Linked DNA regions of Mus musculus. The main gene of each other region encodes a partner of the protein of the gene in region 2 in a complex. Links are inferred from orthologs where the notes say so. Each region holds a gene or a part of one and is shown on either strand. Other genes may lie near its edges.

Evidence for each region.
Region 1: the proteins of Dlc1 (region 2) and Tns2 are in contact, whole or in part, in an NMR structure (PDB 2LOZ), measured with the Homo sapiens proteins. The link is inferred for Mus musculus from reciprocal best matches to the Homo sapiens genes DLC1 and TNS2. Residues at the interface, in NP_001335010.1 of Homo sapiens: Glu811, Asp812, His813, Lys814, Pro815, Gly816, Thr817, Phe818, Pro819, Ala821, Leu822, Thr823, Asn824; in NP_736610.2 of Homo sapiens: Asp1268, Leu1269, Leu1270, Arg1271, Gln1272, Gly1273, Ala1274, Ala1275, Cys1276, Lys1317, Ser1319, Ala1320, Gln1321, Thr1324, Leu1387, Asp1388, Pro1389, Asp1390, Gln1391, Val1403, Leu1404, Leu1405, Gly1406.

The regions. Positions count from the first base shown.
Region 1 is NC_000081.6:102,101,378-102,105,926, reverse strand, and holds the start of Tns2 (tensin-2), read right to left. Parts: upstream 2,994-4,549; 5' UTR 2,841-2,993; coding exon 2,766-2,840; intron 1,398-2,765; coding exon 1,289-1,397; intron 589-1,288; coding exon 551-588; intron 1-550. UniProt on the Homo sapiens protein: Tyrosine-protein phosphatase which regulates cell motility, proliferation and muscle-response to insulin. Phosphatase activity is mediated by binding to phosphatidylinositol-3,4,5-triphosphate (PtdIns(3,4,5)P3) via the SH2 domain.
Region 2 is NC_000074.6:36,935,413-36,939,222, forward strand, and holds part of Dlc1 (rho GTPase-activating protein 7), read right to left. Parts: intron 3,347-3,810; 5' UTR 3,222-3,346; coding exon 2,148-3,221; intron 1-2,147. UniProt on the Homo sapiens protein: Functions as a GTPase-activating protein for the small GTPases RHOA, RHOB, RHOC and CDC42, terminating their downstream signaling.

The DNA.
Region 1 (4,549 bases), on a different chromosome or scaffold from region 2:
TCCCCCAAGCTAGCTTGAGGCCCTGGGACTACCCCCTGCACTGATGGAGCACCAGGAACGTTCCTCAGAGATGCAGGGCTACCTTAGGTTCTCAGTGGACAGCGGGTACCAGCTACAGGGTATTATACCTGAACAGGCTCAGCTTTCACTACCCAGGATGAGACCAACGCAGGCATCCTGAGGACCCTTTCCTCAGAGGGAAGGCACCTCCCATCAGGGTGCCTGGTCTCTGAAATCTTGCTCCCTCTCTATCCACCCCGCCCTTCCTCCCCCCGCAGCCACCCCCCCTCATCCTCTCGCCAGCTGCAGCCTGGGCACAGCACCAAGACAAACGCTGTCTCACTGTCCACCCTCCTGGGCCAACCCTCCAGGGGTGGAGTAGGGTGTTTCTTAAAGAGCCCAACACAACACCCCTGCCACCCAGGAAGGGGTGTCCAGGAGTGAGTGACAGGGGACAGGGTGACATGGTGGCCCATGCCAGTGAGGCTGAAGATGCCTGTCTGGACAGGGAAAGACACCATCTCCCCATTAGATAGAACCACATACTCACCTTTGCTTCACATTTTCTGTGTGTGGCCACCTTGCAGACTAGAGAGAGAAAGGGTAGAGGTTAGCAGAGGCTTACGGGAATAGTCAAAATAACTGTGCTCCAGCCCCACAGGCCTTAGAAGCCAGCTCTGGGACCCTGGTACACTAGGTTACTAGGAGTTGAAGAACAGAGCTGGTTATCAACAGGTTCTGCTCTGGAGTAAGGGAAGAGGGCCGGGGGTTGGGGTCTAGGATGAATAGAGGTGAGGAGGGGAAAGAGGAAGAGGAGGAAGAACAGTAGGAGGAAGAAGAGGAGGAAGAAGAAAAGGATGAGGAAGAAGAAGAGGAACAGGAAGATGAGGAGGAAGAGAAAGGGGAGGAAGAGGAAAAAGAGGAGGAGGCAGAAGAGGAAAAAGAGGAGGAGGAAGAAGAGGAAAAAGAGGAGGAAGAAGAGGAAAAAGAGAAGGAAGAGGAAGAGGAAGAAGAGGAAAAGGAGGAGGAAAAGGAAAAAGGAGGAAAAAGAAGAGGAGGAAGAAGAAAAAGAGGAGGAGGAAGAAGAAGAGGAGGAGGAGCAAGAGGAAGGGAAGACCCTAGTCACAGGTAAGGATGGGAAGGTGGTAGAGTCACAAATCTCCTGGGCTGTGGCAAGGTGGGTGTCAAGAAGAGTGAGGGCATTTGTTTCTGAATTTGCCTGTCTCTAGAGCCTGAGCCACACAGAAGTGCTGCCTGGAGGGCTCAGGCACCAAGAGCACCACCTCACCTCGGCAGGAGACACCGGTCCCATCGATGGTCACCTTACACACTGCACACACTGGAGTTTTCTTCCGGAAAACCTTCTCCCGGAAGCTGTGTGGTTCTGCTTTCCTCGGCTGCGGGTGGGATGACAGACAAATAGGGGTATGTGTTCCTAGTGGGCTCATCTCCAAGGCTGGGCAGGGACCTTTCCTTAGAGCGATGCTGCTTCCCTCTCTTCCAGCCAAAAGTCTGTGAACTCTAAGGCACACTTGGCCACAGCTGTTTCAGGGTAGTCATGAGGCCTGTCCTCTACAGGGCTTGGAATGTGACCCCTTGCGTCACCTTGGCTGGGTCAACTCCTCCCTAAGGGTTCACTCAGGACTTCTCACGTGGCGGAGCTATGTGATGTCCTTGTCACACACACCCCCACTTCCAATGTGAGGGCTTTCTGAATCTTGGCAGAGTGGGGGGTCTGACTCTCCTCCCATCTTGCCCTCCCCACAAGAGGCTTGTATACTGTGAGCTGACGGCCAGGACACACAAGCACTATCACATAATACCCAGACTGACTGCAGCCAGTTCTGAGCCCCTGGCTCTCAGTGTCCCCAAGCTCCAGGCAGCTAATATGACCCCCTCCCCCACGGTCAGAACAACATGTTTACTCTCTGTGCACTGAGGCGGCAGGCAGCAATTGTCTAAGACGTTCGCTCGGAAGGAGGAATAGCAGTGGGGACACACAGGCAGCTGCCTCGCTGCCTCTGCATGTTATGACAGGGGTGGCCAGGTTCTCCGGATGCCCCCTCCCCACCCAGAGGTAGTGAGGTCAGTGGCTGGCTGGGCTGCCACCAGTTGTCCAGGTCCCCCTTAGTCCCTACTCACTGCAAGTTTTCACTGCAGTTCTGACCCCTCCCACCCCAGTTCATCCCTCCTATCTAGAGTCTGTGGACAATCTCCCTCACTCCTCCCACCACTCCACTGCACATTCTTCACCGCTGTGTGTTCAAGCTCCCGCTGTCCCCTCCTCTCCCTGGATCTGCCCACCGTAGTGTGAAGAGGAGAATAACATGGGAGCAGCGTTGGTCCCTTAACGACTGGGGGCGAGACCCACCAGGACACTTGGACGCACTTGTGGATGATGACGTCGTGTGCAGATGACGTCAGTAGAAGGCACCCTCCCTTCCCTCATTGCCTTCTTCCCATACCTTTTCCCTCAAGCTTCCCCCGGAGGTCAGGGCTTGAGCTCTTAGCTGAACCCTCGGGGCCTATCCAGGCTCAAGCCAGGAAATACACAGAGAAGTCAAAACAGATGCTAGAATCACACTGCTACCCTACCCTAGCCACCTCAGGGGGTCAGGCGAAAGAAAGAGGAGGGGGATGCTGAGCCAGCCAGGAGAAGAGGCTGAAACTAGGAAGAGGGTCTGGTCTGGCCTGAATCCTGGCCCTCCCGCCTTGTCCGCACCTCCACCCTGCCCCACCTTTGCCCAGCTGGTGGGCACTCCTACCCTGCTGGTGGCCCGGCTGCTGTCCCTCCTCCCCAGGGCTCTGAGCAACCTTTCCACAGGGCCGCTGGACTTCATGGTGTCTGGCTGGCTGGACTCTTGGCTGCAGGGCCTGAACAATGCTGGGGCCTGGCCTGGGGCTTCCTGGAAGCAGCCTGCCGAGGCAGCCGCTTCCCTTGGGTGGAGGGGAGGCTGTCTGGCTGGTGTGTGGAGAAGCCTGGCCCTGGAAGTGGAGGGAAGTGCAGGCGGGAAGGGGGCAGGTCGCTGCTCCAGGAAGTGGGGTGGGGGAGGATGTGGGGGAGGCCAGGAGATCAGATTCCCAGGATCTACCCTGCTGGGAGTGTCAGCCTAAGATCTCTGGCTCTCCCCATCTCTGGAGCTGCCTCCCACCCAGTGGGCCACTGTGTGCAGGGGGTCTGCAGTCCTGAGATCCAGCCCTGGAATCAGCCAGTGGCACAGGGTGGGAATTCAGGTCTCAGGGCAGGGCTCAAGGGCCAGTGGAGAACACTGTGTCCCCGGCCAGTCTCTAGCCTGAACCCTCATGCTCCCTTGGGATTTCCTGTGGGAAGGGAGTGTTGCTGGGAACCAGTACCCCTGACAGCCCAGCACTCCACATCCTCAGGGTGAAAGAAAGTTAGGGATGAGGGCTAACTTCCCTGTCAGACGGGAGAAGGATCTTATAGTACCCTCCTCAACGCCAAGTTCCAGCGGGAAGGGCTAAGGGCTTACAGGAATGGTCCATCTTGCTGTAACCCAAAGCACTGGAGGTTCCTCCTGAACACCCCAGCTGCTCCTCTCCAGATACAACCCACAGTTCCTGGCTTAGCTCCCAGATCCTGCACCTGAGGTTCTACTGGGGACCCCACCCGCCCACCAGAATCTGAGCGCTACCTTCATGGCTCTTCTGGCCTGTCTCTCCTTCCTCTGTGGCTGTCACTGGACCCGAGGACTGGACAGGAGGCCCCCTCCCAACACATACTCCACCCTCTCTAGGGCCTCCTGCTTCCCTCCTGGGAATAGGGCCAACTTCCTGTCCCAGGAGTCAAGGGAAGGAGGTGTATGGGGCCCTTGGAAAGGATGGAACAACCTTCCTACAACAAGGGTCAACAGCCTGGGGGTTCCCAGCCCAAGCTCTAGACAGCAGCCTTTGGAATGCTGTAGCTAGCTGTCATTTGAAAGAATGTACACCGTGTCACCCTCATTTGCATGGTATTTACTGAATGTCCCAGTGCAACTCCTCCAGTTCTGGCACCTCTTGCAGGGTCCCACAGGACTCTCCTCTTTCTGCCTCACGCCCATCTGACAGATGAAGGGCTGCTCTAGTCCTCCCCAGGGATCCTTCAGAAGACCTGTCAGACTGAAGAGTCTGAGGCCTCTTCCCGCTGCATGCCTGTTCTCTAGGAAGCCCATCGTTGCCAGTGTACCCTGGCTAGAAGGCCCTGTGAGTGGCAAGGGGTGGGGCACCGTGCTGTAACTGGAGAGGGCCCCTGGCTCTGCAATCCCCACCTGAGTTCTGGCTGTGTCCCAGGACATTCCAGGCCGATGGCCAGGTGGGCAACCGGGGCTGTCCTGATTCCGCACCCAGCCCTGCTGGGGAAGATGGATCACTGCAGCGCCTCCCCTGATCAATTTTTTTTCCCCTCTGCTCCTATGGTACATGGGCCTACATCTGCAACCTCTGGTGGGACTGAAAGTCTTTTCCTCTGGAACAGGTTCCCAAACAGCCTCTGCCCTCACTGAACTTACACTGCCCACCTAGATCTAGAAAGTTAAGTGTCTAGTTGGCT
Region 2 (3,810 bases):
TGTGATTTGGGAAATCAAATTTGATTGTTCCTGCTTGAATGGTAAGCACTGTACTGACTGAGCTATGTCTACAAGCCCCTATGTCCAAGTTCCTAATGGCTGTATAGCATTCCATACAATTTGTGATAGTTAAATATATGTTGATCAAAATTAGGCTTTTTTTTAGTTTCTAGTTACATGAAGCAAAGAATATCTCTGTATGTGTTGTTCATATGTATACAATTGATTATTTGGGTACAATTTGAGCTAATTTTCAATTTATCGTTATTTAACATTCATTAGTAACAGATAATACAAAAGATATTACCCATTCTAATACTAATGATTTGTACCTTAACCACATTTTCTATAACAAATTTTCAACTTAAATGTTTGCATTTAGTTTACTCATTCTGAGGCATGCCAAAGGTTATAATGTCAAAGGAACTATTTCAACCAATAATCGGGCAACACATTGGGGGTTGAAATGCTTAAAATAGAACATTTATATTAGAACTTGCAAATATATATAAATTTCCCAGTGCAGCCTTTAGCACTTTGCTGAAGAGCAGATCCGTTCCAGTACTCTTCATATTGATACCAATGTCCAGCCATGAACATGTGTTGCAGGAATGTGTAGTGTGTCTGTAGGCGGTTGGGTCAGATTTGTCTTATTTTAGGGAGCCATGTCATAAGTCAGTTAATATTTCCTTGTGTCATTATTGCATTCTCTCCAACAGATTTGATAGGACATATGGAAATTTCTGGAAATGTGACATGAACATTCCAATCATAATAACTTTCTGGCACCCTGACATTTAAATACAGCTTATGTAAGGAAGAGAGTATTCGCCAGAAGCACAGATTATTCTGTTGTAATATAGTCTAAGCATATTGATTTTTTTGCCGAAATGTCTTTGGGTTCATTTCATGTAGTTGAAATGATTACATTCACTTTAATGATCTATTTTGTTAAAAACAAAAACAAAAACCAATAAGAAGGAATTGGAAAGGTCCCCCCTCCAACAGTGGGCTAATGGCCCCAGTTAAACAAAAATAAGAATAGCTATCTTCTGTTTCACAAACGTTTCTTTAGTTCCTTCAACTGCCGTGGGAAAGTGACCAAAGAGGAAACTGTCCCTTAGAGTTATTTTACTTCATGTAGTACTACACTGTCAGAAAAAAAAAAGAAAAAAAAAAGTAACAGAAGCCTGAAACCATGAATAAGAGTTCGGTGCTAACCCACGGTCATGTAGCGCAACCCTGTATTTTTTTTTTAACTTCTTACAGGAATCTGTAGACTAATTCAAAAGGCCTAGGTATAAAATAATTGTATCATGTATTGGGCCCTTTCAAGGCAAAGACATAATGGTGTCGCTACTGATAGTAGATGTACTAGCATGACATTTAAAGTGATATTAGCACATGCAAAGAGTTGTCTTTCCTTATTAACAGTGTTACCTTGACTTAAGATTTATTTTATTTTCAATTCCATGTATGTATGTGTATATCTGCATGTGGGGTGTGTACACACAAGTGCAGGGGCCCACAGAGCCAGAGGCCATGCATGGGGTCCCCTGGAAGAGGAATTACAGGCAGCTGTGAGCCACTCCACATGAGTACTGAGAACTGACCTCTGGTCCTTTGGAAGAGACCAACACGGCCCTAACCTCTGAGCCATCCCACCAGTCTCCAGTTGATTTTGTTTTGGTTTTAAATACGTGGCTGCTGAGGACTAAGTATGATCTGTGAAAGGGAACGAAAATGAGCTCAAACAAATGAGACAAGATTAAGCACACTGCTGCTTTTCTTATAAAAATTACATGTCCCTTTTCAGAAGGCCATGAACTACAGAGTGTCATTGTGGTGAGTACTAAATTCCAAGGAGACTGAGCCATGCTATCTTAACGCACTTTTAAAGAGCCACAAGCCATCACGATGTTGTTAGTGAAACTGTAAGATTATTGTATTATGTCAACTCTCGCAGAGTTTCATGGTTTTATCAAGTGAGCGTTTTTCAATTTTACTAGCTACGTGACAGGATTAAAAACAACAAAACCAAACAAAACATCTGTGCATCATTTTCAGCCCAAGCACATCCATGAGTTATGAAAATAAAGTTATTTACAACACTTCAAAAAGCCAGATGATCTATGTGTGAGGCTTACCTTTCTCTTGCGCAGTCTGACTTGATTGTCTACAGTCTCCTGGGTGGTCACGGGGCCCCTTAAGTGTAAACACTGCATGCCATCTTCCCTGCTGACCCCGAGAGTGCTTTTGTTTTGATATTCTGAGAATCCACTCTTCTCCAGGTCATTTTCTGCTGACATCCCACCAGGGCAGGAAGGAGGCTGAAGAAGGCTGCTTCTGCAATCTGCTTTTAATAATGGCAGCCCTCTGTCTACATAAGGAGCTGCTAAGACGTCTTCTTCTAAGACATGGTGCCGATTATTTTCCTGGTCATCTTTAGGGAAGTCAGATTTCCTGCATTGTTGAGTGATGACTGCAGAATCAAGCAGTTGTGTCTCAGGTGTGACATCTTCTATGAGTACCGAAGAATCAAGTAGTAGTGTCTTAGGAGTGACGTCATCTTCCGTATTCAAAGACTGGAATGTATTTCCTATGGGCACATCTTTTGTTTCATCTGCACTCGTATTCTTACAAAGCCCCAGGCTTTTATTTATAGCCTCAACATCTTTCCTTTCTCCACTTCCTTCTGCTGGAGACATATCAGCCTTACCAGCCATCCTCCAGGTGTTATGAGAATCTTGGCTACTTTGCATGGTGGACAGTGTCTTCATGAAGGAGCCTGCTCCTTTGACACTATCTTGGCTGTCTCTTTCATGTCTTTGCGGAGTTAAAATCTGTGAGTCATTGATAAGGTTTAGATCAGAATCAGTATCCTCATCCGAAATGTGCACTAGTGTTTCTGTGCTGGCCTCGAGCGATAGAAACCGCTCTTCCCCTTCTTGGCTGTCACTTTCATCTACCTCCTGTGCAATGTGACCCATTGGCCTCCCAGGAAAGTCTCTTGTCTCTGACCCACAACAGCGGTCCGGTAGAGAGGCACACTTCTCTTTATGGTCCACATTTAAGGTCGCATCTTTTTCCATCCTTCCCTCCAAGCTGTCGGATGCCAGTCCGTGGTGACATGCTATGTCATACTCATCAGAAATAAAAGGCTGTTCGGTCTGCTGGGTCACGTGCTCTTCCCAGCTCCTCTTTCTGATAGCTACAGACATGTCATCATAGTTTAACAGCAGACAAGGAGATACATTCCATATGACACTCAAAGGGATGGAAGTCGGGGAAAGAAGATTTCAAATGCATGGGTCAAGGAAGAGAGTGTGATCTGCCATGTTGTCCACTGTGAAAGAATTGAAAATATGCTGTTATAGATACATTTCCAATATAATTATATTTCATGGCAAAGGATCTAATCTGTGCTGTGAAGCAGAAGTAAGAAATAATGCAAAACTTTTGCTTAAAAATCTTAATGTTTTTCCCCCCTTAGAGGCAGTCTAATATTAGAGAAAATTTTGCATTTAGTATTTTTAGTAAAAGTTTATCAGTACTTCCAAAACCAATTGGACTGGTTTATTAATGAAGAAAGATATAAGTATCCAAACATTTTAAGCTCCGTTAAGAAAATATTTGGACTGTGATGCTTAATAAAATTCACTGGAAAACTAACTTGTTGCTCTGGCTTCGTGTGCTTTCCTGATTTATTTTTGTGAACAAAAGCCATTAAGGAAATGAATTTGCTGCTTGGTTTGAATTGAAACAAAGGCCACCAGGGAACCAGTCCTGCAAAACTTGAGCAATGGAGAC